4 linked regions of the Pelodiscus sinensis genome follow. The protein of the gene in region 1 purifies or fractionates together with the protein of each later gene. This does not show direct contact. Links are inferred from orthologs where the notes say so. Each region holds a gene or a part of one and is shown on either strand. Other genes may lie near its edges.

Region 1 (7,152 bases):
CTGTTGCTGCAAAAACTGCCCCTCAGCACACAGCTTGCTCTCCCTGGGCTGTCTCTCAGCTCCCTGTTTTTGCAGGACTTCTTCTGCACACAGCTTGCACTCCTTGGGCAGTAGCTAAGCTCTCTGTTTGCTCAGAGAGAGCCAGAACAATCCCAGCTCACAGGGAGGATGGGGCCTGGCCTCCCCCCTTCCTCACTGGCCTGTCCAACCTGTCAATCAGGCTGAGCTGGAGTGTTGGCTGCTTTCCATTGTCTCTGGGGTCTGTCAGTCTCATGAACTTTTCCCCTTCTGAAACTGGGAGCTGACAAACCAAAAAACTCCCACAGAGTTTTAGTAAGGGGTAACAGGTCCCTTACACTTGGTTCATTCAGTGAAATACCTACATTTGCTGAGCACTACCGGTGTTAGCAACTAAGATTAGCAAGTAGTATGAAGCAAAGGGAGGGGTAACTGCCCCACTCCAATGGTGCCCCTGCCTCCACTCTTAATGCAGCAGTCTTGTTTAAGATCCTGCTGCAGATGGCCCTACTGGCTTGACTATGATTTGTGATCTGGCTTATGATGGGTGTTCTTGACAAACTTGCAGGTAAATGCAATATCATGCATACAGGGAAGACAGCAAATTACTAAAATCTGTGCAAGACTTGTCTTATGTAACTAAACTTTTTACCAATTACAGCAGTGAAAACGGTTGTTTCTTTTTAGTCCAACATTTTTAAAAACAGACCACTTAAAGGCCAAGTTGTTTTAAGTGTTTGTATTGATCAAAGAACAAAACTCAACTGCTTCAATTGTTATAGATACTTTGAAAATCATTCAGTCACTTCAGGCAGCTTTGTAATTCACTTCTCTTTCCTCTTGTTCTCACAATAGCAGTATTATCTGTATCTTGACCTTTCCTTTTCTAGTCTGAATAAGATTGAAACATCCCTTCTTGCTCAGTAGGGCAGTTTTATTTAAGCACATTAGTTGTACAGTAAAAAAGAGACCTATTTGGCAACCTTGGATTGAGTACAATCATTGACATTTATAGAAATGCTATTGATGAAGACAGACATTCACTTGGTCACACCCATTCCCACACCAAATTATTTTATCCATGACTACTGCAAATAGGCAGTAACTTCATACCTCCACTCTCTGCTCCCTTCCCACACAAACTCTCTCGTCCAGATGCTTACAAAAACATAACTAAAAAGAACATTTTTGTTGCTCTGTGAAGAACACTTAATAATATACATTAATAAACTTGTGTCTTCCGTGATGCCTACAAAAGAAAATATTCAAGGTCTATCTGAGCAGTGAGCATGGCAGGACATATTTCGCAACAGTCATACAATTATCTCTATAGATTCCCACTCAACGATTCACGTGCCCAGATTTGAAGGTCCTGGCGTTTAAAGCAGTATTGACCATTGCCAAGCATTTTAAATAGTAAGTCTTGTGCTTTGGTAGCACAATTTTTATTAAATGTTTAGCAGTGGTATTATGCCCATCTTTGACATCAGGAGCTATACATTTTTAATTTCCTAGATGATTGACTCTTGGATTACTCATGCTCTCTAGGGCACCTATTATTTCATTTGGGCTCTGGATTTAAGCATAAATGAAATTGTATCTATTTTCTAGTCTATTCAGGATTTGACTTTTATTAGGACTATCCTGGATTTCTGGAATGGATTTACCTTTCTCCTTTAACGCCATATTGTGGAGCTGCAGAAAATGGTTCATGAGTTAAGGAATCACCTGTCTTCTCTTGCTCAGGTACACTGTCAAAAGGTCTTTGCCAACTTGGTAGGAGGCCTCTGTAATTTATCTAAATTCCCAGGCCCACCCTGGACTTCACAGCCTCATTGTGACATGGTATAATCCAGACTCTGGTGTGTCTAGACTACAGGGTTTTTTAGAAAAAAGTACCCTTTTTTTGAAAACAAACAAACAAAAAAAACCAACCTGCACCTGCGTCTAGACTGCAGCTGCGTTCTTTCGAAAGTAAATAGAAAGAACGTGGCAGTTTTTCCGATTGCAGTAAACCTCATTTTATGAGGAATATGCCTTTTTTCAAAAGTACTCTTTCGAAAAAAGGCGCTATTTAATGCAAACTGTACTTTTTTGAAAGAGAGCCTCTAGACTCGCTTTTCCAAAAAATCTGTTTGTAGTCTAGACGCTCTCTTTCGAAAGAGGCTTGTAGTCTAGACGTAGCCTCAGTAAAATATTGAACTGGTGGGTTCCTTTCCCAGAATATTTTCAGCCTTCACCAATTCACACAGCAGGTGCTGCAGTTGCATTCAATTTAGATCAACAGATGATATGGGGGGGGGGGACGCCAGCTAAAGGAGAGGGGGCCCATGCCCTCCCCACACAACACTTCTCCACTCCAGCCCAGGGCCCCTGCTCTCTCCTCATCACCCCACCCCATGTTGTCCGGGGTGGGGGCTCAGTCCCCTACGCTGGCTTCCCACAGCATGTTTGGCTGCTCTCCTGGGTGTAGTAGCAGGGGGCTGCCTCCCACCCAAGGTTGGCTTTTGGAACCAGTGGCTCAGTGAGTTGAGGAGGAGGAGAGCGGGGGGTAAAGGAGTGGCCTCTGGCTTGCTTGGCCACTGTCCCCACAAACTGAGCAAGGGTGGCAGCCTGATGTTGCTGTAGCCAGGCACTCTCCCAGTCAGTTGGGATGCTGCACCAGACAGTAGCTTTCTGGAAGAGGTTCTGGCTCCACCTCTTCCCTTTCAGCTCTAGTCCCGTTCCTTCCTCTTCTCTCCACACCCCCGGCTATGTCTACACAGCTTCCCTCTTCTGCAAAAGTCTATGCAAATGAAGTGTGGATTAGCATATTGCCATGCTTCATTTGCATAATTAATTAGGAGCCGTTTTTGTGCAAGAGGTTTTTGCACAAAAAGGCACTATCTACACAGTGCCTTTTTGCGCAAAAATCCCCTCTTGTACAAGAGCCGTTCTTCCTCATTTTTTCAGGAAGAATGGCTCTTGCACAAAAACCTTGTGCAAAAACGGCTCCTAATTATCTATGCAAATGAAGCATGACAATATGCTAATCCACACTTCATTTGCATAGGCTTTTGCGGAAGAGGAAAGCTGTGTGATATAGCCCTAGATTTGGTTTTGTTACCTATTTGGGGAGAGCAAGCATTCAGTATGGCTAAGTGAGATTACTCCCTGCAGTTGTGCTTTAATAGGTGATGGCCTTAAGTGAACAACTGCAGAAGCAATTTCGTAATAGAGAATGGAAGAGTATTTGCCGTTAACTAGGGTTCTCAAAATCCTAGTTTCTGCAGATCCACACTGACCCCTTCTTCTTCCCTTCTTTTGAGTTTCTTTTACTGTAAAAAGTTGGTGAGGAACTGAGAATCATTAGAAGTCCCTTTTTTAATGGAGGACATCATGTTAGTTCAGAGCAGCTGTACCCCCATTGGCTATACTGTTCTCAATGTTTCTGGGACTTGCTTGCATTATATCTTTATTGACATTAATTTAGAACATATTCTCCATCGTGTACTTTATTAACAAGGGGAACATACAGTCCAGTGTTACGTCTCTTCTCACTTCATTGTCTCAGCATTCTTAGATAGCTGGTAAATGCTGGCTTCGGCAGCTGTAAATGCTGTTATAATTATGCCATTCCATGCATATATAACTTCAATTTTAAATCTTCTACAGTATTTATAAGTAAAATATATTCATTTCAAGGCAGTCTTCTAATTTATATTAAAGAAATTGTTATATTAGAAGAATGATACCTCTTTTTCTCTCATGTAACCTTATATTTCTCGTTGCTTGTGTTTCTGGTTGCTTACCTGGTGTGTCTTTATTCCAACTAGTTATTTAGTACAATAAGTCCTTAATGCAAACAGCAGTCATATGGGACTCAAGGTTTGTAGTTACTATCTCCAGAATTATAGGTTTGGTTCCCAGCTGAGATTATAAATGCTGATCTTTTAAAATACAGTTCACAAAGAGATGTATTTTAATGCTACTCTTAATAGTTATTTAGGATATATGGTGCCTGTAGTATTGCAGCTGTAGTGTTGTAAAAGGCTCTTACAGAAATGCACACATGCCACACCATTTCCTGCCAGGTGCTCATTGTTAAATAGGGAGCTGTGGTTTATTAGCAGCAGTTTTCTTTTGCAGCAGTCTGACACTCTAGCTCCAGGGTGGGCAATAGTTTTTGCAGGGGGCCACTCCACGAGCTTTGGTAAGTCATCATGGGCCACACATTTCTACTATTTGAGTTTGGGTGTAAGAAGGAGCTCTGGGACGCCACTGGGGTGCAGGGGAGATAATGTGACGTGTAGGGAGGAGTTTGAGTGCAGGAGGGAGCTTGGGGCTGGTGCACAGTGCTGGGGTGCAGGAAAGGTTAAGGCATCTGGGTTCTGGGAGGGTGTTTGGGTGCAGAAGGGGCACTCTGATCTGGGGTAAGGGGTTAGGGTGTGGCACAGGCTATGGCCAGGAGGCACTTTGCACAGGCAGCTCCTGTCCCACGGTACAGTGGGGTACTCAGGCTACCCCAGAAGCTGCTGTTGCCATGTTTCTGTGTGCCCCTTGAGGAAAGAGAGGCAGTGGACCTCTGAGCACTGCTCCTTCCCCCCAACACTGTCCTCATAGCTCTCATTGGCTGGAAATCAGCCAATGGGAACTATGGGGACAGTGCTTGTGGGCATGGGCAATGCACGGAAATCCGCTGTCTCACTGTCCCCAAGAGGCATGAAGAGAGAGACCAGCAGTAACTGGCTGCTTTTAGGGCCATGGCAGGCAGGCAGCCTGCCTGAGTACTCCTCTGAGCCACGGGCCGTATTTTGTCTACTCATGCACTAGCTGCATCTCAGGGCCCAGATTCACACTTGGCTACTGCAGAGGAAGGTAGAGCTGTAAGGGGCTCATTACCTCATCAGACCTGAACGTAGGCCTTTGGCTGTGGGAGGTGGGGTAAGGGTGGGTGTGCTGCTTGTGAGCCTCGCGGTGGGCAGAGTGGGGAATTATGCCTGAGCCCTGCTTCTGAGACTGACTGGCTGTGGCACAGGGGAAGCACTGTGACACCCTAAGGCAGTGGTCCCCAACCTTTTGGGGTGCCGGGCGGTGCACGCGCCGCGCGCCCGGGGGCGGGGCCGTGCACGCACCGCGCGCCGGAGGCAGGGCCGTGCACCCGCCGCGTGCCTGGGGGTGGGGTCGCCCATGCGCCGTGCGTCCGGGCACTTGGCGGGCACACATAAATACCCGGGCGGGCACCTGCAGGCACTGCATTGGGGACCACTGCCTTAAGGGGACTCTGGCAGCAGTGCGTGTGCTGCTGGCAGGGTGCAGAGCACTCATTGTGAGCTCTGTGCGTGACTCCCCAGTGGTGCAGGCAAGAACTGGCAAGGCGGCTAAGGGCAGGACATGCTGGGCCACGTGGCCCTGAGCGAAGACGCTGGACGACCTCATGGCACCCCAGGAAATCAACACATAGCCAGCCCCAATCAAGGGATAGGACTGTGGTACCCATGGGATTTGAATCTTCCTCAGCACTGAGGAGTGGAACTCTCAGGGGATGGGAGGCTGCCAGGAGCAAGTGCCTCTGGGGCAACTCAAGCAGTGGCAGGGCAGGGATGGTGAAGGCCACTGTGGTAGTTGTCGTACTGATACCCTCTCTCTCCAGGGAGCCTGCTCCAGGCAGGCCTGGGTCTGTGCGCTGGGGAAGGGAGATTGGGTGGCTCCTCAGCACAAGCACCTCAGTCCCCACAGACTAGTCTGTGCTTGCTCTAGATGCATGGGCATGGAACTGGTGAGGCCTCGTCTCGGAGCACTGGCGGGGGACAAGTGGGCCCCCCCCCCCTTAGCCCTTCAGAGAGCTGGAGAGGGGGAAGACTAGTGAGTCCCCCCTCAACCATTTGGAGAGCTGGAGGGAACTGGTAAAGCCCCCTGTCAGCATGTTTGAGAAGCAGAGAGGAGGAAACCAGTACTTGAGAGAGCTGGGGAGGGAAAAGGCAGTGAGGCTCCCCCACCCCTCCCCTTGGAGAGCCAGGAGAGGGAAGCTGGTAAGGGCCCCCTCCCTGACCCATGTAGAGAGTGGTGATGGTGGACCTGTGAGGCCCCTCTCCTCAGCCTGTTTGAGAGCCTGGGGAACCAGTGAGGTTCCCCATTAGGGCTTCAGTGTACGGGAGGAGGGGGACTGGTGCCTCAGCTCTTCAGAGAGCCAAGGAGAGGGAAATTAGTAAGGTCCCACTTCAGCCCTTCGGAAAGCTAGAGGGGGGTATGGATGCAGCCCACTCTCAGCTCATCAGAGCGGGCTGGGAGGAGGGAAACCAGTGAGGCCTTCTCTCAGCCCTTCAGAGACCGGGGGGCTTAAGTCCCCCCTAAGCCTCTTGGAGAGGCGAGTGGAACTAGTTGAGGCCTTTCAATCCTTCAGAGAGCTGGGAGAGGGAACCAATGAGGGCTCCTCAGCCATTCTGAGAGCTGACGGTGGGGTGCGAGGGTGTGTGTGGATGGTGAGGCTCCCCACAACACCCCAGAGAGCTGTGGGGAACTGAGGAAACCCCTCTCAGCCCTTTGAAGAGCCATGGGGGAGAACGGGTAAGACTCCCCTGCCCCTCAGAGCTGGGGAGCAGGGAACTGGTGAGCCCCCATCCCTTCCAAGAGCTGGGCGGGGGAAATGAGTGAGACTACCTCAGAGAGCTGGGGGGTGGGCACACCTCCCCCTCAGCCCTTGGACAACACGGGGGGAGGGGCGGAAGAGGGGGAAATCAGGTGAGGCTCTCCCTGTCCTTCTGAGAGCTGCGGGAAACAAGTGAGGCCCCAGTGCTTCAGAGAGCCAGGGAGCAGAAATTGATGAGGCCCCTCAAGATTCTCTCAGAGCCAGGGGGGCAATGGGTGAGGCCTGCCCCATAACCCTTCACGGTGCCAGGGTAGGGAAGCTGGTGAGAGTCAGCTCCTCAGAGAGCTGGAGAGGACTGGTGAAACCACTCCTCAGCACCTTGGAGAGCCAGAAGGGACCAGTGAGGCCTCCACCCAGCCACTCAGAGAGTCGGGGGTAGGGTGGGGTGGGAACTAGTGACACTCGCAGCCCTTCTGAGATCTGGAGGGGGGAAATGGGTGAGGTCAACCCTCAGCTCTTCGTAGAATGGAGGGACATGGAATTGGTGAGCCTCCCTCCCTCGGCCC
Region 2 (7,320 bases), on another chromosome or scaffold:
GACGCTCTTGCGCAAGAAAGCTCTGATCGCCATTCATAGAATGGCCATCAAAGCACGTGTGCTTTTTCCCATCTGGAGCGTCTACACTTGCCTTCTTGTGTAATAGCTGTAGCGCTAAAAGCAGTTATGCCTCAGAAAAGGAGGTTTACCTACGGCAGAAAAAGCCCTCTGTTCTGCCGTTTAACTGCCTATTTAATTGTGAAGAGCTCATTTGAGGTTTGGATGCTCCTCAGGTTTTTGCGCAAAAACAGCTGTTTTTGTGCAAAAAACCTTGTAGTGTAGATGTAGCTTATCAGTATAGTTAAATAAGTACAACTTTCCTAGTGTAGACTGTGCCAGGATAGATGAAGTGGTACAATTTCCCTAATTTGAAGACTACAGAGATTATGCCAATATGCCTTATTTCCATACGTTAAAGGGAATAAGCTATACTGCTGTTAGGCATCACTGTACCAATTATATATTTAGCATGTGCATACTGGGCTACACATTAGTGTTGTCGGTGCCTACTGTGCTGGGATTCATTGAGCTGATGCTCCTGAAATTCAACTTGCTAGTTGCTTCATTAGTTTTCCTGACTACTGTAAGGTTCTGGCAGGTGTCGCAAGAAGAACACTTGAGTTGTACTGATATAACTATTTGGGGTAAAAATCACACCCACACACCAAGTTGAACTAGTATAGACAAGGCCAAACTATATGCTGTTCCCACTAGATTCATTCATCTAAAGAGCCCCTCTCGGACCCATTTTTCATTGCATCATGTTGTTGTTATCTAAGCTATTGACAGAGCAAGTTGTTGAATTATTTGGAAGTTTTAAATGGTAGATGTGTGGGAGTTACAGAGGATCTTCTCTTCCAATGGGATTTTTTAAAAATGCATACAATCTGGAAACATTTTAATGTCAAAAGAAACATGACAACCCTCCCTTCTGCCAAAATAAATCTTTCTCATTTTTGCTTTCTCCTTTATCTTTTTACTTTCAATGTCCACCCCTTCCCTCACACACTTTTTCCTACCTGAAATAAGACAGTTTGAATCTCCTGTCACTTCTGTCATTTCCTGACCTTTGAGTGGGCTAGATTCATAACTGACAAATGGCCAGGACCAGAATGAGAAAGAGTTTAGTGGTATAAAATGTCTTTCACTTAAATAAGCAAATTAGTTTCATGTGAGCAATAGCCAAAAGAAAATATATCCTTTTCTCAAATATCTACCCTTCAAACTCTGTGAGAAGAAATCTTTCTGGCAGGATGGGTTTTCTCTTTCTTTCTTCCTTTCTTTTCCTTTGTTTCCATCTCTCCCTTTTTTGGTTGTATTAATCTCCAATGTAATTCCCTTTCTTCTGGCTTTTGTCTTTTTTCCTCCTTTGTCTCTCATTAATTCATCCTTCCTCTCAAGTGTCTCTGCTTTCTCTGAATTGCCTTTTTTCTTTCCCCACCTATCCAATTGTTTTTGTCCGCTCTACTTCTTCAGTATTTGCTGTCTGTTCTATATGGATATAGTTTGAAGGACATGATTTTGCAGGAAGAGTAACTTAATTTTAATAAAGTTCAAGTGTGAAAATGTTAAGTACTGGCCACTGACATGAATGTGTCTCTCGAAGGCATCTCTTATCTCTATGGGAATATACTGAAGAAAAGTTGCCATCAGTATAGTGACTGGGACAGGAAAGCCTTCCAAGAGATATTATTTTGAAACAGAAGGGCAGTAAATAGACCAAAGGGTGTGTCTGAAACTCTGGTGCGCTGGCCAGATACAATTCACCAGGGTTAGTCCCTGGCAAGCACCAGATGCTTCATTTGGCTGCTGTTTGTGGGAGGTGGTGCAGGCCAGGCCACCACTTTTTGTAGCTGTCATTTGTTGGAGACAGTAAACCGTGGCCAACAGGAGCTGTGAGTGGTCATCCCTGTGAATGCTCAGGTAAACAAAGTATCTGGCAGACCGCTAGGGGCTAGCCCAGATGAACTGCGTCTGGTCTGTGGGCTCCAGATTTCCCACCCCTGAAGTAGACAGTCTTCAGATGTATCACACTTGTTAAATATTAGTACACCTTCCTTAGTTCCAGATATATGTCTAACTGTTTTCTGTGCCTTTTCTTTATTTCTGACAGTTCTTTCCTCAACTTTCTTTTGATAATCTATTTTGCCACAATTTAGAAGTTCTTGGCTCCATGTTGAAGTGCACCGGCGGAGTGTCCACACAACCTTTTTGCACAAAAAGGTTTATTCCTCGTGGGGAGAGGAATAATTCTTGAGCAAAAAACCCTCTCTTATGACGATCTACTGTAAACTTTCTTGTGCAAGAACAGGCTTGTAGTGTGGAGGCTCCGCAAATTTTTCCACAAGAATGGGTGTTCTTGTGCAAGAAGCCTGCACTGTAGACATAGCCTGAGATGGGTAGGTTCCCTGGTGTTCAGGATTAGATGCTTTATTCCATAATCAAAGACCACAAGAAATAGGATTTCAAATCCAATTAACTTGCTTGTAGAATTGGTAAAAAACTTTAGATGTTTTAAAATTAAAATTTGGGTTTGTTTTTTGGTAAATGATTTTTTTTCCAGAAGAAAGGTCCCTTTTCATCACATTTAAAAAAATATTTTCCATTAAAATTTTTCCTGATTTTTAATGAACAGTTGCAGAAATTGAAGATATTCAGTTTTTGAAAACCTAAAATGTGATAATTGATTTATAGTTTTTAGTTGAAAAACTAAGAAATTTTCTACTGTCTCTGCATTAATTTCACTATTAAGGAATCACACTTTCCTTATAGCACACATTTGAGGAATATTTTTTTCACAGTGATGGCTATAAAGAAAGGGATATAATGGAAGACACTTTGTTCATCAGAATCTGACAAAGGAAGGCAGGAAAAATGGAGAGGGATAAAACATATATATTATGTTAATTATGGGAGATAGGAGTTATGAAACAGAATCTGATTAGAGAGACAAGATAGGTGAGGTAATATCTTTTTTTGGACCTACTTCAGCCCTGAAGAAGAGCTCCACTAGGAAGCTTGTCTTTCTCACTAACAGAAATTGGTCCAAAAATAGGTATTAGCTCATTCACTTTGTATCTGTAATATCCTGGGAACTACACAGTTACAACAGTACTGCATGCATAGAATCTGATTGCCTCATAAAAAAGTCCATTTGTGGTCACATGTACATGTGCCTAGTTTTATTAGTGAGTAGGCCCACTGAAAAATATTTTAATAAAATTAAAACACAGCAATACAAAGACCATTAATACAAATATATATAATATGAAGGAACCAAGCACAGTAACATTTCCAAATGACTTTTACTATTAAACCTATAATTATTATAACTCACACTCATACCACAATATAAATTAAATTGCATGATGTCATTATTTGTTTTTATTACAATTGTGTCATTTTTGTAAACATGTTTTCTTTGGTTTCCAGTCGCTAAACTAGTAGTCTGGAGACTTGAGGTCAGTTTCTCTGTAGGATATTGATCTATAATATTGATTGATGCAACATTGTGTAAATCAGCCTGCCCTGTCTGTTTTCTCACTTGAAAAGTGTTTTGAGATAATTACATGAAATGTGCAATCTGTTATTTTTACACTGCACTCCAGGTGTTTATTAAAAACAATTTTCTGAAAAAGTTATAAAGGGTCCAAAATGGTTTAAAGTAGGAAAGGCTGGTCGCTGTGACTACTTAAATAGATTATATTAATATAATCTTTGGAAATCTAGTTTTTGAAACTAAGTATATATTTTGTAAACAGGATAGCAAAATAACATTATTTCCCATTCTAGGGTGGGTTGAGCAGATTTTGTCCCCTGGAGTGGTCCTGGTGCTTGTGAATTTTTTCTTGGTTGTGCAAACATGATAATGGGATGTGGTTTTGTGAGCAGAATAAAGCTTCTGCATATCCATCCATCTGGTTTCACTCTGGGTAAAGGGTATGGGAGCAGAGCTGGACTACCTGGGAACTTTAAAAGCTTCAGCGGTGGAAGCCAAGTTTATCTGTAACAGGAAAAACTAAAACCAAAAAACCAGCAAATAGACTAGTAGCACAGTAAAGACTAACCATCTACATATTTTGTTAGTTTTTAAGATGCTACTGTATCTGTTGTTTTTTTTCCTGGAAACTTTAGTTTAGTAGTTTGCGCCACTTCCCATAATCCATAAATGGACTACAATTCCCGGCATGCATTGCAGCCCACGAAGGCCCCCTCCCACAATTTTCCACAGGCAGCCCTGCCTGTTTCAAAGGGACCCAATACCAGGAGTGGGGTGTATAATTGATTAGTGTATTAGGGACCATCCCACTATGGATTTTAGGGGAAGCAGCGTGCCCTGTAGGCGGCGAGGAGAGCGGTATTTCTAGGCAGGCAGCGCTTCAAGCGCCTCCAACTCTTTCTGGGCTTCTCTGAGGCGGCGGCGGCGCCTGTTAGTTGCTTTCCAAGATGGCGGCGCTGTTGGCGGTAAATTCAGGTAAAAGGCTCCCGAGCGCGAGGCCGGTAACAGGGGGCGGCGCCGCGCCGGCTCGTGCGGCCCCTGTCCCCGCCCCGCCCCGCCCCGCCCGAGGGGAACGGCCGCGGGGGGAGAAGTGCAGCAGCAAGAGGAGGCGGCGGCGCGAGATCTGTGGCCCCCTCGGCTCCGGGCCCGCCCGTGTGTGCCTGGCTGGCAGAGACCGTGCGCCAGCCCCGCCCCGGGAAGCCTCCCACAAGAGCCGGGGTGCGGGGTCCTTTGCCTTTTAGTTTCTGAGCCCGGGGGGGGGGGGTCGAGGTCTAGGGCCGGGCCCCCACTGCTCTCTGCAGCCCCCGTGCCTGGCAACGCGTCTTCGGTCGAGCCAGGAACCCCCCCCCCCCCCCTCGGGTCTGGCATAATCGCAGGAGCAGGTGCTCCGAGGAGAAACACCCCAGGGGCCCCGCGTCGCCAGATCCCCTCCTGGCTGCTAGTGCTGCTGACAAGGGATGTGGAAGCGCAAACGTGTGTGCGATTAATGTGAATGGTTACACATAAGTGCCGCCCACGGCGCTGCTGCGTCTGTATCAAAGGGAGCAGTGCAGGGGGCGGGTGGGAGCCGATACGTGGGGAGCTACCTCCCCCCCCGCCCACGTGTAACTGCTGAAATTTTCATCAGTTTCACATTTACATGAATACACGCACCTTGTGTTCCCCATCTCTCATTTCTTGTCTCCCTCATGGATTGTCAAATGCTTGGTGCAGGGACTCTTGCAGAGTATCTGGTGCAATTGGGTCCTGGACAAAGACTAGATTTCCTAGTCACTACGGAAATATAAATGATAAAATTGTGAGACTTGGCAACCCAAGTAACGTGAGGGAGATAAAGTTTTAGGGGGCAGTTCTCACTGCCCTTTGGTGCCATTTGGGGTGTTCATGTCCTGCATGATGGGTGCAGGGACTTTCTCTTCAGCCCCTACATTATCAAAATCTGAACCCTAATCTTTTAGGAACAAAAGCTTCAGGCAGTAGCCGAGTTAGTCTGTACAGGATAAACTTAAAAAACAACAAATAGTCTGATAGCACTTTAAAAACTAACAAAACATGTAGGCTATGTCTACACTCACGGCTTTTTGTGTGGGAAATATGCAAATGAGGTTAAGCGTGGAATATTGCTGAGCCTCATTTGCATACCTAATAAGCTGCCATTTTAGCAGAAGATGCTCTTGCACCAGAAGGAGCTGACTACACTGCCCCTTCTTGCGCAAGAAAAACCCTCTTGTGCAATGCCGTTATTCCTGAAAAAAATCAGTTTAGCGGCGTTGCACAAACAGGTTTTTCTTGTGCAAGAAGGGGCAGTGTAGGCAGCTCCTTCTGGTGCAAGAGCCTCTTCTGCAAAAATGGCATCTCTTTAGGTATGCAAACGAGGCTCGGCGATATTCCACGCTTAGCCTTGTTTGCATATTTCTCATGCAAGAAGCCGTGAGTGTAGATAGCCGTAGACGGTATCATGAGCTTTTGTGGGCACAGCCCATTTCTTTAAGTTTATCCTTTTAGAAACAGTACTACTTTTAAATTGAAAATAGCTGAACTAGATTTAGCCCCTGTCCTACAAACATGTGATGCCACTAGTAATACTCTCTCACGTAAAATGAACCTTGTGCATGTTTTAAAGTTTGAGACTGTAGCATGTGGCTTATTCTTCATAAGGAAAAATCTTTGTTGTGGCTTGAAATAAACTACTAAAATGCATTGGAGAGTATGGGAGAGGATGATGGGATTGCAGCAGGGTCTAGAGGCACTCTTGGTAATGGAGTGCTGCATGCTTGTGAACATACACGCAAAACACTATCCTCAATCCAGCTAGGGGGAAGGAACAACATGCTGTGATTCCCACCAGGGTACTGTTTCTGGATCCTGCTAAGGAACTCCATGCTTAGCAAATAAATGGTGGAAATGCAGCCTACTATTTCTTGTCTCATCTTCTAGATGTTGTAGAGTGGAAAGCTGTTCACTCTCCAAAGGTTTTTTGTCCCCCCTCCCCCTTTTTTGAGCTTCCCTTTTTCCTTTCCCCAGTTTAATTTTTTATCTTCACAAATTTTAGTGGCTTCCTTCAGCTATCATGGCATGAAATAGATGCCTTGTCCACAATACTGGAGGACTGATGCTCCAGTGATCAATATTCTGTGGTTCGATTTAGCGGGTCTGTCAACCACAGTATTCCTTGCAGTGGTGAGGAGTAAGGGAAGTCGACGGGGGAGGTGCAGCAGGGGTAGGTCCCAGACCCAGCACAAGCTGGGGACTGAGCCAGGCTTGCTTAGTCCCAGCTCATGCTGGGTCTAGCAGCCCCTGTCCACAGGGGTCCCGGTGGGGAGCTGGGACCCCCCGCAAGCAGAGGCTGCTTTGTGGCAACCTCCCCTGCCCTCCCTCCACGCTGCTGCTTCTAATAACATATGCTTATTGAGTTGTTGAGTAGTGCCTCGACTAGTTGATTAGCTTATTAAACACAATTTAACATCCCTAATACAGAGGCAGCAAAGGGGGGCGGGGAAGCAAGCAGCCAAGTAGTTAACTCAAATACCCGATAAGCCTACACTTATCGGGTAGTCAACTACTTGCTTATATCCCTATTATCCGTGCCTTATCTCTTATCATGAGTTCACAATGAAAGAGTTAAACTTTTCTGCAATGAAGACACAGTTTTAGTTAAACCAGTGCAACTTATATACACATACATGTGCTCATAAATCAGTTTACATGATGCCTAGATTAATTTAGTTTAAGTTCAACAAGCGATTCACCCTAGCCAGCCAGCGAAAGTAGAGTGGAGAAATAGCAGAATAAAACTGACAATTCTGATGTTTCAATGTTTC
Region 3 (7,587 bases), on another chromosome or scaffold:
TCGAATAAGGGATTAAGGGATCTCCTTCAACTATTCGATTAGTCTATAAGGGCACTTTGAACTATAGCAAGAGTCCTTGCGACACTTCAAAAGCAGAGGCGGGGTCAGTGGGGGACTCCTGCTGGCCCTACACTCCCTCAGCCTTTGAAATGTACAAGAGCCCCAGTGGGAGTGCTGGGGGAAAGCCTAATAGAGGCAGCAAGGGAGGGAAGTGACTAGTTGCATCACTAGTTGACTATCCAATAAGCTTACATCCCTAGCACAGATCCTAGCTACCCCCTCCCTAACCCTGAAATGCCTGCCTGCCTGCACACAGCTCCTAGCTAATCCCCCTTTCTACATCTTGAGCTAACCCCCCCCCAGAGCCTCCTCCTGCCACAACCAAAATAGGCTGGGTGGCCTGTTGAGGTGAGTCAGGTGCTAAGGGGGCACAATCTCACTAGACTCCTATTGAACTGGCCTGAACCCTGCTAGCCCGTGCCCCCAAAACAGAGGTCATATTACACCTCTGCCCCCCCAGGCCTAGACCCCCAACACCTTCCTTCCCCCGCTGAGCCCTGGGGTTTTGATAGCATGTTGCGTGAGGGAGGGGCTACCGCATAGTTCAATGAGACCCTTCAAGCAATTTTACCAGATGTCATCATAGGGAAATATGGTCACCCTCGAGTAGGGATGTAAGTGACTAGACGAGTCACTGCTCGACTAGTTGCTTCGCCCCCCACTTGCTGCCTCTGGGAGCAGGAGCTGGTGTTGGGGGGGAGCCAGCTTAAAAGCTGGTTCCCCACAGCACCATCTCCGTGGGGGGAGGGGGGAGGGGCAGAGGCACAGTGGGGGACTGGACCAAGCTGTCCTGGCTCATGCCCAGTCCCAGACGCTACGGCTCTGCCTTTTAAACGTAGTAAGAGCAAGGTGGCTCTTACTACATTTAAAAGGCAGAGCCACAGAGGGGCTAGCTGCCACCCCACTGCAACTCTGCAATTTTCCCACCTTTCGACTAATCAAGTAGTCGATGGAAATTCCATCAACTACCCAATTAGCTAAACACAATTTAACATTCTTACCCTAGAGGCACCCTAAAATAAATGAAGTTTAACAAATACAGCTGAGAGTAAACCAGAATGCACATGGTTATTCTACAAGATCTTACCAACAGTTTTATCCTTACTGTGCCAAGCCCCATTTAGATTCATAGCACAAGTGCCCTATTTAGTTCAAAACAACGAGGAGTTTGGGTCTTTGCCCAGGAAAGCTTATGCCCAAATAAATCTGTTAGTCTTTAAGCACTTCTCATTGCAGACACAGACTAACATGGCTCCCCCACTCATACTATTCAGTGCAGTGACACTTGGCAAAGGATGAGCAGCAGCCCTGGAGCTTCAGGTGACTGGGGTAGCCTCTCCCACTGAAACCCCCCACATACCCAGGAACACACAGTTCTGATGCCATCTCTCCCATAGAGAAGATAAGGGATGATTTACTCCGCTAAAACCAATTCTGTGTTATTTAAGATTTTTGACGAGTAGTTATCGGGCCTGGATTTGCACTCACTAAGTAGGTAGGGTGGCCACCCACACATTCCCAGCATACCGACTATTCCGGTACTTCCAGAATGGATGTGGGCCTGCCTGTGTCAGCAAAAAGCTCACCGCCCCTTTGGCATGACCTCCCACACACATGAGCAAGGTCACGCCAGTGGGGGTGTAGCAGTGCACTTTTCAAAGAGATAACCCCCCATAAGATACCATACAAAGGCAGGCTCGGTTTTGGCTCAGTATTGGTCAGAATATCCACAAGAAAAGTAGGAGCATGGTTTAAAACAGGATAAAAGTTCTGCCTCTGAATAGGCATCCACACTGCAGGGGGAGGAGCTTAGAGTGGAAATCTGCTAAGTCACAATGGAGTTCAGAGCACCAATGAAAGTGGATCTTTCCTACAACTGAGGCAGCTGACACACACCCGTGGATATCAAGGACTAAAAGCATTTGGCCATTACTGTGACTAGTCCCTGAAATGTCTCTCGGGCAGGGAGTCCCTTTAACTACAGGAAGTTAAAAGCCAAAGCCCATCATTCAGTTATGGAAACGTTCAGACAAATACATGTGTCTTGAGATGGATGTTACTAAACCGGGAGCTGACATAATGAGCAAAAGAGGGCGACCTCTTCCGAAGGAGCCCAGCCCCTAAGTCAGCATAGTCCCTGACACTAAATGCTTCCCTAGCCAGTCTCCACGGCTGTGACAAGGTGATGGGGGAAGAGCTGTCTCCCCGGGGTGCGAGGGGGAGGGGTGGGGGCAAAACCACACAAACCGAAACGCGTTTCCCTTTGATAGCCGGGCTCCCCGGAGATCACCCGCTAAGCCCCCTCCAGATCACCGACATACATCAGACGGGGAAACTGAGGCACGTACATCAGTACGGTCACCGCCCTAGGTGGGGAAACTGAGGCACGTGGCGGCGGGCAGGGCCTCGCCCGAAGGTGACACAGCAGGTGGGGGCAGGCAGAGAGTCCCCCCCCCCCCTCCCCCTCGGTCCATTCCAACCAGCCGCAGCCCCCCCCTCAGCCGGGGAGGGGGGAGCCCGCGTGCCCCCAGTGGGGGAGGGGCAGCCGGGTGACCCGCCGGGGGCTGGGGGGGGGGGTCTCGGCCCGGCCTGACTCAGCGAAATCCCGGCGGGAGCCGCAGGCCCCGCCCCGCGCTCACCGGCCGAGGTGATCATGCTGCCGCTCGGCCTCGCCCGGCCTGGCCGCTCGCTGCTCCGCTGGGGGGGGCGGGGGGCTCGGGAGCCGCCGATGCCGGTCACTCGGGTCCGCGCTCTGCCTAGCGCTGCCGCCACCCGCCGCCTCCTTCCGGCCCGGAAGTGTCGTCAAAGGACCCCTCAGGCCCCCGGCGAGCTGGCCGCGCGGCTGCCCGACCGCAAAGTGCCGGCGGCGGCGCTAGGAAAATGCGGGGCCCGGCTCCGAAGGGCGGGGGAGGGGGCAAGGGCCGAGTCGGCCCCCCCCCCTTCCTGCGGGCAGGAGCCCGGTAAAAGTGTCAGGCAGGAGCTGGACTACCCCTCCCTGCCCGCGTCGCGTGGCCCCTGCAGGGGGAGCGTGGTGGCTGGGGCAGGCAGCCCTCACGCGCTGGGACCCGCCCCTTTGCCCCCCCGCAAATACACGTGCCTCGCCCCCTTTGCAGTTGGGGGGTTACTGGGCATGGAGCACTACAGGGGCAGGTGCCCCCCCCCCCTTTTAATTGGTCCATAGGCTCCAATCCCCACTGGCCTTTGCAGGCTCCCATGCAATCACAAAAAGCAGGAGCTATTCATGTGTTTTGCAAGGTTTAGGCTCCAGCACAGTAATGATGGTAAGTAAATAAAAAGAGGTCAGGCTCCATTCATCACATCTGGCAGGCAGGATGTGGCCCCTGCCCTTTGCCCATTGACACACTTCAAAGAGGGGTTAAACTTCTATGTGAGCATGCGAGTTTCCTTTCCCCCTCAAAAATCGGAAATGATGGCTGTAGGCTACATCGAGACTGGCATGATTTTCCGGAAATACTTTCAACAGAAAAATTTTCCCTTAAAAGCGTTTTCGGAAAAGAGCGTCTAGATTGGCAGAAAATCTAGACATGCTTTTCTGCAAAAAAGCCCTGATCGCCATTTTCGCCATTGGGGCTTTTTTGCGGAAAAGCTGTCTACACTGGCCCTTTAGCGCAAAAGGACTTTTGCCCGAACAGGAGCAGCATAGTATTTCCGCAAAAACACTGACAATCTTACATGAGATTGTCAGTGCTTTTGCGGAAATTCAAGTGGCCAGGGTAGACAGCTGGCAAGTTTTTCTGGAAAAGTGGCTGATTTTCCGGAAAAACTGGCCAGTCTAGACACACCTCTGCTGTGTACATGCAGAGGCACAATTCCTCCAATTCCACAGCCTCTATATATCCCAGCCACGGAGCCCATCGGTCCCCCTAAAACCATTGGACATGGAGAAGAGACACACAAGGGAGCATGTGAAAACAGGAAAGTTTAGGCTGAACATCAGGGGAAATTTCTAAGGGTTTGTCTGTACCTTAAACGAGCTTTGCTGCTATAAACTTGCATACAATATTAACTGTCCAGTCAGAGCCCAGCCTGCATTGGGCTAGGTTCTGTACAGACAACAAAGGTTCTTTCGGGCTAGCAGCCATCCTATGTAGTGAAGTGCTCCCAGCTTCTCCCACAAGTTGGTGGTGGGGGAGGAAAGGAGGGTGGGTTTTTTTTAAACCCACACAACTACAGGAATCCGGGCAAGGCTACAGCAAGAAAGAGCCCTCATGGTAGGTTTTCTCCTCATCTTATCAAAATTCACAAGCTGAAAAAGGGAAACCGAGCTATCTTCCTCTAACAAAATATTACCAAATCCCTCTCCCCATTGACCTGCCACTGTGTTTGCTGACACAACAGTGCAAGGTCCAAATGCCCCTTCTGCTTTTCATGTAGTGCCTTCCTTATCAGCACAGCATTTAGGCTTGTAGACTCGTGTTCTGGGGCCAGTTTGGATAGATCTGACACTCAGGTCAGGAAACTCAGAGGCTACACAGAAAACTGAAGTTTTACAAAGTTTGATCTGGAACAAAAGTTCTGACCCTGGTCTAGCAGAGTCAATTTCTGCAGATTCTGACCCAGAAGGAAAAGTATTTTTAAAAAATAATTTTAAGACACAACCCCCTAAGTCAATGTAGTTGATGGTGGCAGCATACACAAACAAGCCTTTGTGCTGCAATTATAACCACATTGGAAAAGGCAGCAGAGTGGCCCTGCTCCTAAATGAACAGTGCCAGGTATCCCAGTTCAACTGTTCAGTCACTAATTAAAGTCCATCTGTACTGCACAAGATGACCAATTTGGCTGGCACTATGGATTGCCACAAAGACAGGTTTCACTATTCTCTGCAGCGCAGAAAGGATTTACAAGGACTTCCATCTCCCCCAGCTTAGCTTACATCAAATCAATTGAAAGTCAAAGTCGGGTCCATATCAATGATATTGGAGGGAACATTCTGATGGACAGCAATAAAACTGCAGAAAACAATCTAGAATATAGAATTCACTGTAAATCTGTTTATTTATTCCTTACATCAAGGTAACAATGTCCCACAATTAGTCTCCCAATTAAATACATAAAACACCTGCTTCATCTATAAAAGGTCAGTTAACGCTCTTAAAAAATTCAAGACACTTTCCTTCTGTAGACGAATGTCCAGTGGAAGATACATGGGGGCCAGCTATTCTCCCGTTTACTTCCACATGCATCTAGAATGATTCCATTCACTTCAGTCAAGTCATTACAAGTGTAAATCTAGAGCAACAGTGCAGAATTTGGCCCCCAAGTCTGTATACATTTTGTGGGTCTCCACAGGGATATTTTAAATGGTTAATTCATGAGGCCTCAACAGATTACAAAGATTGACATAAAATGTCACTGCTGTTATGGGACTAAATTAGTATGAAAAGTTTAACTGTTATGGATACATCTACATTGTGGGCAAAAGTCAGATGAAGATGCGCAACTTCAGCTACGTTAATTGCATAGATAAAGTCGAAATAGCTTAATTCAGCTTTAGGCTCTGTCTACACAGCAGGGAATCGAAGGAAGAACACTCCTCCTTTGACTTCCCTTATTCCTCCTTAAATTAGGGTTACAGAAATTGGAGTAAGAAGCCCGTTATTTCGAAATGATTTTGGAATAACAGGCTTGCTGTGTAGACACGCACTTTGTTATTTCAAAAGAACGCTGCAATAGACACAGCCTTTGTGACCTGCTTTTAATTTAGAGATTAGAGGGGGTCATAAATATGTAACAGATTCAGATCCAATCTACACTACAGTTATGGTCAACGTAAGGCATCTTACGTTAGCTCAGCATGTACACCAGGATGCTCTTCTGCCAAAGTAAGTGGCAATCTACAGCAACATAACTCCACCTTCTTGAAAGATGTAGCGCATATGTCACTATAGATGCAGTGTCCATGTAGACATTGTGTTACTTATGTTGCCGGTAGGGCGTGAGCCCATGCCCGGCTGACAACTCTGGCTGCTAGTTGGGGAGAAGGTGGGAAGCAGGTATGGATCCCAGGCCTACTGGGCTCCAGCTGTCCGTGTCCCCCAGTGCCCCACTTCAGACAGTGGAAGTGGTCTCGGTGAGTACATGCACCACTGACAGAAGGAGCAAGTGTAGACATGAACCGCCACTTTAATTACTGAAGTGGCTGTGTGTCAACTTTACATTCATTTTCTAGCGTAAACGTGCCCTCTAGCTACTTGCAAAGCTCCCAAGATGAGCTGTGCAAGACACCAAGCATTAGCCTGCATTCGTTTCCACCAACTGAGCTAACAACTGCTTCTCAGCCACCCACAATCAATGACTTGACCAAATCACATTATTACATTTGCATTTTCAACTTGCTTGTAACCTCAAAGCATGTTTTACCTACAGAGTACCCTGTGGTCTGGAAGCAAGACGGTGCTGGTCCCCTCTATCTACTTTCTTACATGCCATGCCACTGAAGTAGAACCTCAGAGTTATGAGCACCTCAGGAACGGAGGTTCGTAACTCTGAAATATTCGTTAACGGTAAGAACAAAACTTTATGGTTCTTCTTTCAAAAGTTCACAGCTGGCTATTGATTTAATACAGGTTTGAAACTTTCCTGTGCAGAAGAAAAATGCTGCTTTTAGGCATTTAAATGAAACACACAGAAAGTTCTCTCACCTGGTCAAATCAATGTGTTGTATCAGGGATTTCCTGGCTTGTTTTGTCTCTGCTACTGCCTGATTGTATATTTCCAGTTCCAGATTAGGGTGATCAGTCAGTTCATAACTCTGAGATTCTACCTTATTGTATTATCTACCTCCTAGGGTCACTCTAAGGCCTTGTCTACACATGAAAGTTTTACACAAGTATAACTCCCAGTGTGGACACACATACTAAAATAAGCAACTGGGTAAGAAACTTTGTAGACGGGGGGGGGGGGGGGGGAGCAGTAGATAGCTTGACTGTAGCAAGGCATTTGATACAGTATGAATTACTCTCTCAGAACAAACTAGGGAAATGCAACCTAGATGGTGCTACTATAAGAATGGTGCAAAACTGGTTGGAAAACCCTTCTCAGAGAGTAATTATCAATACTTCACAGTCATCCTGGAAGGGCATAACAAGCAGGGTCCTGCTGGGATCAGTTCTGGGTCCGGTTCTGTTCAATATCTGCATCAATAATTTAGATAACGGCCTAGAGAGCACACATTTATATATGAAGATATACCTATCTCACAGAACTGGAAGGGACCTTGAGAGGTCATCGAGTCCAGTCACCTGCCCTCACGGCAGGACCAAGTACCATTTATAAAGTCTGATGACAATACCAAGCTGGGAGGAGTTGCAAGTGCTTCAGAGGATAGAGTTAAAATTCAAAATTATCTGGACAAACTAATGAAGGGGTTTGAGGTAAATAAAATGAAATTCAGTAAGGACAAATGCAAAGTGCTCCACTTAGGAAGAAACAACCAATTGCACACTACACAAAATGGGAAATGATTGCCTAGGGAAAAAAGTACTTCAGAAAGGGATCTAGGGG
Region 4 (7,354 bases), on another chromosome or scaffold:
TTCCCTTTCAAGTGCAGATGTAAAAGGTCTTTGTAGCAGAATGAGGAGTGCATGTTCCCCACCTGGGGCAGGCTCATGTTCATCTGTTCCCTGTGTTCCCGTCAGAGTGAGGAATGAAGCAAACTGCATTTTCCACTTGCTCCCTGATGTAGGGGGACAGCTAGCAACATCCCTGTATGTATTGGGGATGAGCTTTAGCCCACACTTCCTAAAGAGCACCTGGGGATGAGAGGCTCAAGGCTGGGGCAGTCCTGGAGGGGTGTGGGAGGCCGGGGGACAGGCTTCCAGCCAGCCTCTTTCACCTTCCTGCTGATTCTGTCTCTTTTCTGTTAGGTTTTATGAGAAAGAATCCCATTTTCTTGGCACAACTAAACCCTTACTTTGTTTTAAGTTATAAGAGAAAGCTGTATACCAAATTTGGTGGTCCTAGCTCCTACTCTTTAGGAGGAAAAGCTTCAGAGGGATAGCCAAGTTAGTCTGTAACTAGATAAACTTAAAAAATAACAAATAACCTAGCAGCACCTTAAAGACTAACAAAACATGTAGATAGTATCATGAGCTTTTGTGGGTACAACCCACTTCTTCAGATGAATGAACACCATTTTTTCTATCTAGGAGGAGTTCTTGAACACACAGACAGACAGAATCTCACATATGGCAGATTTTCACTACTGAGTATTTATTAAACAAAGCACTATACGAAGAACAAAAAGTAAAATCTTAATACTAGCTTTTAAAAATCTCTCCTTCACACTGTAATCCCAGAGATCTTTGGAAATGAAGTCTCCTTCATTTCAATTTATTTTCTTTTTAAACAAAGTAATGTCTAAAGGTCACAATCATAAACATTTAATAATGAGCTACGTAAGTATTAGTCATTATTATTATTGTTAGTAGTAGTAATAGTAGTAGAGGTATTATACTAGTGTAATTGAAAACAATGACAAATTTCCCACTTTCACACTAACACTGATACAGCACCACAGGTTAGTGAAGTATGGTCACAGTCCAAGTATGGATAGGCAGATTGTATCTCTTCTATACCAGTTTGAGAAGGGATAGATACTGTGACCAGATGTCCTGATTTTATAGGAACAGTCCTGATATATGGGACTTTGTCTTATATAGGTGCCTATTACCTCCCACTTTCCTGATTTTTCACATTTGCTATTTGGTCACCCTAAGTGTAGACAACTGAGAAGTAACAATTCCAAATTCCAGTCTATCTCAGTACTCTCCCATTGTGTGCATCTAGACTACATTCCTCTTTCGAAAGAGGAATGTAAATGAAGGAAATTGAAAATGTAAATGAAATGCAGATTTACTCTTGCGCTTCATTTGCATAATCACATCTGATTGCTTTTTTTAAAAAGTTTTCGGGAAAAAAAAGGTAGTCTATATGCGGTTCTTTTGGAAAAAACTTTTTCAAAAGAACCCTTATTCCTGAAAAAATGAGGTTTATAGGGTTCTTTCAAAAAAGGATTTTTTTCGAAAGAACCGCGTCTAGACTGCTTTTTTTCTAAAAAACCTTTTTTGAAAAAGTGATCGGACGCGATTATGCAAAGGAAGCATGAGATTTGTAAATCTGTGCTTCATTTGCATGTTTGATTTCCTTCATTTACATTCCTCTTTTGAAAGAGGAATGTAGTCTAGATGCAGCCACTATTGCTACCATCCCAATAAAGAAACTACCAGGATATGTTTGGGAGGGAATGCTACTTTCACACACTATGGCAGGGTGGGATTTGGCACTTGAATGGGATACCCCTTCCCTGACCACAGTATAGTGGCACGGAGTGTGTTTGGCAGGGAAAAGAAAGGGAAGGAGTTTTACACAATACCCGGACACCAGGGGCAGATGACCATTTTGCGGGGCCCAGAGCAGCACAATTTCGCGGGGGCCCCCTTTGCCACGGCGCATGCACGGTGGCACCACACGCATGTGCGGTGGTGCCACGGCGCATGCGTGGGGCTTCTTGAAGCGCGGAGCTCGGGGCGGCTGCCCCACTCGCCCTGCCCTATATCCGCCCCTGCCGGACACTACACTTGCAGCTTGAGGTAGAGCCTCATGCTATCCTTGAAATAGCAGAACAAGTGGGTATGAATGTGCTGAGAGTTTCAGTTTGTATCTCCCACACTATGTGGATTCAGTAGTGGAGGGTTAAAATGACATTTTCTGCACCCAGGTTGAAAAGGGAGAGCATGGGCATGTAGGCAGAGCCCAAGCATAATTTTTTCAGGCAGGTACAAATTTGTAACAGGGGCCCTGTCCTGCACACACAGCACAATTTGCAGCCTGAGCTGCGCTCCACCCTCCTTACATTCAGGCGCAGGTAAAATGTACTCTTCCTCCTATGTGGGGGCTCTGTATGTAGAAGGATCCTTAACACCGCTGCACCAGCATTGAGTTTCGTGCACTGACCCATACAGTGGCAATCCACAGGACTTGACCAACAGCAGCGAAAGCCGCTCGCCAGCCCCGCATTGCGCATGCGCACGCCGCCAGTAAACGGGGCGTGTGGCTGAAATCTAGTCGCCATGGGCGAGTAGATTCTATAGTCTGTCGAACCCTGGCGATCCATGTGCGGGGAAGAAATGGGGCTTTAATGGGAATGGCTAGCATGACAGCTGCATGTGTGTGCCCAAAAGGGGCATATGATAAGGGCTCCCATCCCGTAGAACACTGGTCACCAACCAGTAGATCGGGATCTACTCATAGATCTTGGTCTGTAACAGGTGATCCTAACTGGTTTGGCCAAGAGGTTACTGAGCCCAGCACTTCCGTTTCCCCCCACCCTCGAGACTGCTGCACGTCTCCTGCCTTTTCCCTTGGAGCTGTCTCCTCAGGAGCCTTTGTTTTTCTGTGCGGGGCAGGAGAAAGAGAGGAGGGGGTGCTAATGTCAAGGAGCCCCCTCTCCACCCTGTATCCTATCTCTACGGGGGGGTGGGGAGGTAGAGGGGGCCACAGCAGGACTCGGGATGGAGGGAGTTTGCTGAATGCTTTTGGAACTGGTGCAGGACCAGGGCGGGGGTGAGCCTGCCTTAGCCCCACTGAGCCACCTGAGGTAAGCAGGAGCCACCTGAGGTAAGCAGTGCCCAGCTGGTGCCCACATCCCAAAACCCTACCCCAGTCATGAACCTTCTCCTGCGCCCCAAACCCCTGCCCTAGCACCCCTGCATCCAAACACCCTCCCAGAACCTGCACCTAGAACCCCCTCTGGCACTCCAACTGCCTGCCCCAGGCTTAGCTCAGAACTCCTCTCACACTCCAGATCCCTTAATCCAAGACCAGAGCACCCCAGCCCTCTGTCCCAGACTGGTGAAAGAGATCGAGGGTGAGGGAGGGAGGCTAGAGCGAGCAGGGCCAGGGCCTCAGAGAAGGGGCACAAAAGAGGTGGGATATGGGTATCTGGGCTTGAGGTAGATCTTGGATTGCAATTAAATTAAAAAAGTTAGCTCCTGCTTGAGAAGGCTGGAAACCACTACCATAGAACCAGAGCCCCAGATGGTGCATGCATGGGGTGGGGTCCAGCTGCCCTCGCTGCCAGTATCTCCAGGGTTGCCATGTGGCCAGTTGTGAACCACAGTCCAGTATTTGAGCTTTCTGTTCGGGAAACAAATTGAGAAAATATAAATGTCCGGTATTTTCTAAATAAGATGTAATGCAGATTGTGATGTCATGTCAAGTGTGTTTTGTATTTTTGTTGAAACCATCTCTAAAGCGGGTGGCTCCTCACTGACCAACCCCCAATACTGGTGACTGTGCACAGTCACTGCAGCTTAGGGTGAACTTTGCTATCGCCTCCTCCCGTGCCCTGGAGCCGGGTTCCTGTCCCTGTCATTCATACACAACACAGCCTGGCAGGCTCACACCTTCCCTCCCCCTCACACCCACCAGCCCTTTCTGCTGATCGGCCGCCATTTTGAAACGTTTCCTTCCTCAACTGCTCCGCGCTGCTTCGGCGCGGGAGGCTTCGCCCAGAAATCCCGCGTTCTGTGGAGTTTTCCTCCTTTCCCCACGGCACGAACATTCACTCTTAATCTTTGTCCCGATTTTCAGGCCACATTTCTTTCAAAATTTCCCCGCCTCAGACAATCCCTTCCGGGGTCACGGCTTAGCGGCCCCAACGGCCCCTTTGTGGGATCGCCGAATTATTCGTTTAGATTCGGACACATCGCAGATGTTTCGCAACCGCTTCCGTAAACCTCGTAAAAAGATGAAAAATAATGCAGCAATCGTGTTAGGGACGGAGAGAGCACGAGAGGCGCGCGCGGAGACCCGCTTCGCTTCCGGGTCAGAAGCGGCCATTTTGTAGCGTTAAGTAGGAGGGCGCGGGCTCCACCTTGTTCATTTGCTAGTAGCAGCGGGAAGAGGCGGGTGGTGGCTGTGCTGTATTTGCCCTCCCACATTCTCGGCCTCGCCTTTACTGGGCTGTTTTCTGTCGTTTTCCAGATTTCTGTCCTGAGTTCGGGCCCGCTTCCTGGCTTGAGGACCCTCAAGGCCAGACCCGCTACCGACTCTCCTGATCGCTTCGCCCGGTTTCTCTTTTCAGTACCGCCGCCCCTCGGGGGCCTCTGCCCGCCATGAGCTACGGGCGCCCCCCTCCCGATGTGGAGGGCATGACTTCCCTGAAGGTGGATAATCTGACCTACCGCACGTCTCCGGACACGCTGCGGCGGGTCTTTGAGAAGTACGGGCGGGTGGGGGACGTCTACATCCCCCGAGACCGCTACACCAAGGAGAGTCGCGGCTTTGCCTTCGTCCGTTTCCACGACAAGCGCGATGCCGAAGACGCCATGGATGCCATGGACGGTGCAGTGCTGGATGGGCGGGAGCTCCGAGTTCAGATGGCCCGTTATGGGAGGCCACCGGACTCGCATCATAGCCGCCGGGGTCCACCGCCGCGTCGATACGGAGGTAGCGGTTACGGACGCCGCAGCCGCAGGTGAGGATCAGGCGGAGGCGGGGAAGAAGATTGCTTCCCCGGGGCGATAAAGGGCTGGGGGGGGGGAGCCTGGGGAAAACCACTGTCCCCAATGTGACGCGATGGGGGAGGGGGTTTCCTAGCTGGGGAGGCAGGATCGGCGCGAAAACTCAGTTCTATAGAGCCACGTGGTGGCGGGAGGGTTCGGGGGTGGCTGGAATTATTCCTCGGAATAATGGCGTTTCGTAACCGCCACGAGGGGGGGGGGGGTGTTCCGCCCTGACTGGCCCAGCCGTATCGCTCTTTTTTTTACGTCTAACTGAGTGATTTTTAACGTTCTAGCCCCAGAAGACGTCGCCGTAGCCGATCCAGGAGCAGGAGCCGCTCTAGGTCTCGCAGTCGATCCCGCTACAGTCGGTCCAAGTCCAGATCCCGCACACGCTCCCGATCTCGCTCCACCTCCAAGTCTAGGTCTGCCAGGAGATCCAAGTCCAAGTCGTCATCCGTCTCCAGGTCCCGATCCAGATCGAGGTCCCGATCCAGATCTAGAACCCCCCCACCAGCCTCAAAGAGGGAATCTAAATCTAGATCCAGGTCTAAGAGCCCCCCAAAATCTCCTGAAGAGGAAGGAGCTGTATCCTCTTAGGAAAAAGGTAATGTAGTTGGCGCTCTCTGCATGTTGCATGATACTTCATAATAGCACTTACTGGGGTGTATTGGGATAGTTCTTACCATCTTAAGAAACACTGAATCCTAGTGGGACACACTGTTAGCGTTTTGAGTAGACTTTTCAGTTACTTGGTTAGGAAACTAAATTTCTGCAGGGGACATTTTCATGTTTTTTGTTTAGGGATTAATGGTTTGGTTTTAATAAAATATTGTATGAGACGCAACCTATTAATGAAAATGACTATTTCTTGCTGTTTTTATCCAACATCTGCATTTTCCCCTTTAAAGCTGCGGTCTCCTGTTTGCTAAAAGAATATTGGCCAGTATTGCAGATTTTAACTGATTTGGCTGATCCTCCAGGGACCAGTTTCTGTGGGCGTGTTTTGGAGCAGGTTTGTCTTTAAAAGTTAAAGATACACTATCCTTTTATAATGGAAAATCTGTTCAGTGGTCATTGTACTGACTGAAGGTAAAGTAATTCTAGAAGTGGCAAATGCAATGCAATAAAAATGGAAACTGGTTTTTCCTCGAACTTTAGAGGCATCTAAAAATATCCTGGGTGGGGAAAGGATAGTGTGTCTTTAACCCCTCAAACTATTTGGTCCTGTTTTTAAAATGGAAATAGGTATGAGAACTGTGAGGTTAAATAATTAGATTAAATTTCATGGTAGTGTCTCTTATTGAATGCCAGTAGGAAAATTGAGATTTTTACAAAATAGTATACAAATGTTAGTATTCATTATAACTTATATGGGCTAAAGTCGAGTAAGTGTATGACTTTCACAGCCTGTTGCTTGCTCTTCACTAACTCAGTTTAAACTAAGTGACTGTTAAAACACTTCGTCATGATCATCTTTGAATTTTAAATTTGGCCTTTGAAGAGAGGCAATATGGTGATAAGGGGGGGGGGGAGAGGGGAGCACTGCACATAATCCTTAATAAAACTTAATTTAATTAGACAAAGCCAGTTGAAACGCAACCAGAAGCATACTTGAAGTCATCCAGGTAATTGGGAAGGTGCATGGTGGAATCCTGACTGAACTGTTTTCTTTTCAAACCTAGATGCATCAGATAAATGAGAAATCAACATAAAGGACACATCTGGGGTGGAAGATCCTTTGAATCTTCAGTCCATTGGAGAGACCCCAGGCACAAGCAACCAGCTGTTGAAAAGGTTATTTTGTAACATTTTTGTCTTAACTTTTTACTTGTTTTAAGTTGAGCCTCAAATGGCAGACTTTACATTTTATGTGCCATTTTGTTGCTGTTATTCAAATTTCTTGTAATTTAGTGAAGTGAACGACTACCGATTTCATTATTGGCTTGGATATTTGAGGTAAATTTTCATTTTGTTTATATAGTGCTGACTTGTTTGACTTTTTAAAAAAACTAATGGCAACTTAATTGATTGCCTCAAGTTTCATGTTGAGGAAACATGCAGCCATTACATGCTGAGTAGCTGACTGTCAAGGAAATGTTTTCCAATTTGCCTTCATTCCTTCAATAAAATTCTGCAAAACTTCTTCAAATGTAAACTTATTGTAAATGCTATTTACTTGGAATTAAAATAGTATTGTCTGTTCCAAATTTGTATAAAACTTTTTTCAGGTGACAATTGATTTTTGAAAAGACTGTTTTATCAGACTCAATTCTAATCTCTTCTCTTATGTATTTTTGTGCACTAGGCGCAGTTGTGTAGCAGTTGAGTAATGCTGGTTAGCTGTTAAGGTGGCGTGTTGCAGTGCAGAGTGCTTGGCTGT

Evidence for each region.
Region 2: the proteins of ESR2 (region 1) and NUP205 purify together in Homo sapiens (affinity purification with mass spectrometry; 3 studies listed by BioGRID and IntAct, with this or other methods). This does not show direct contact. The link is inferred for Pelodiscus sinensis from reciprocal best matches to the Homo sapiens genes ESR2 and NUP205.
Region 3: the proteins of ESR2 (region 1) and PSMD1 purify together in Homo sapiens (affinity purification with mass spectrometry; 3 studies listed by BioGRID and IntAct, with this or other methods). This does not show direct contact. The link is inferred for Pelodiscus sinensis from reciprocal best matches to the Homo sapiens genes ESR2 and PSMD1.
Region 4: the proteins of ESR2 (region 1) and SRSF2 purify together in Homo sapiens (affinity purification with mass spectrometry; 3 studies listed by BioGRID and IntAct, with this or other methods). This does not show direct contact. The link is inferred for Pelodiscus sinensis from reciprocal best matches to the Homo sapiens genes ESR2 and SRSF2.

The regions. Positions count from the first base shown.
Region 1 is NC_134714.1:15,611,087-15,618,238, reverse strand, and holds the start of ESR2 (estrogen receptor beta), read left to right. Parts: upstream 1-4,148; 5' UTR 4,149-4,210; intron 4,211-7,152.
Region 2 is NC_134711.1:85,276,852-85,284,171, reverse strand, and holds the start of NUP205 (nuclear pore complex protein Nup205), read left to right. Parts: upstream 1-4,312; 5' UTR 4,313-4,446; coding exon 4,447-4,474; intron 4,475-7,320. UniProt on the Homo sapiens protein: Plays a role in the nuclear pore complex (NPC) assembly and/or maintenance. May anchor NUP62 and other nucleoporins, but not NUP153 and TPR, to the NPC.
Region 3 is NC_134720.1:50,712,185-50,719,771, forward strand, and holds the start of PSMD1 (26S proteasome non-ATPase regulatory subunit 1), read right to left. Parts: upstream 3,009-7,587; 5' UTR 2,716-3,008; coding exon 2,700-2,715; intron 1-2,699.
Region 4 is NC_134730.1:9,789,377-9,796,730, forward strand, and holds the start of SRSF2 (serine/arginine-rich splicing factor 2), read left to right. Parts: upstream 1-4,336; 5' UTR 4,337-4,584; coding exon 4,585-4,946; intron 4,947-5,267; coding exon 5,268-5,571; 3' UTR 5,572-5,578; exon of another isoform or gene 5,579-5,882; 3' UTR 5,883-7,354. Other genes in the region: UNC93-like protein MFSD11, read right to left, coding at 3,896-3,922.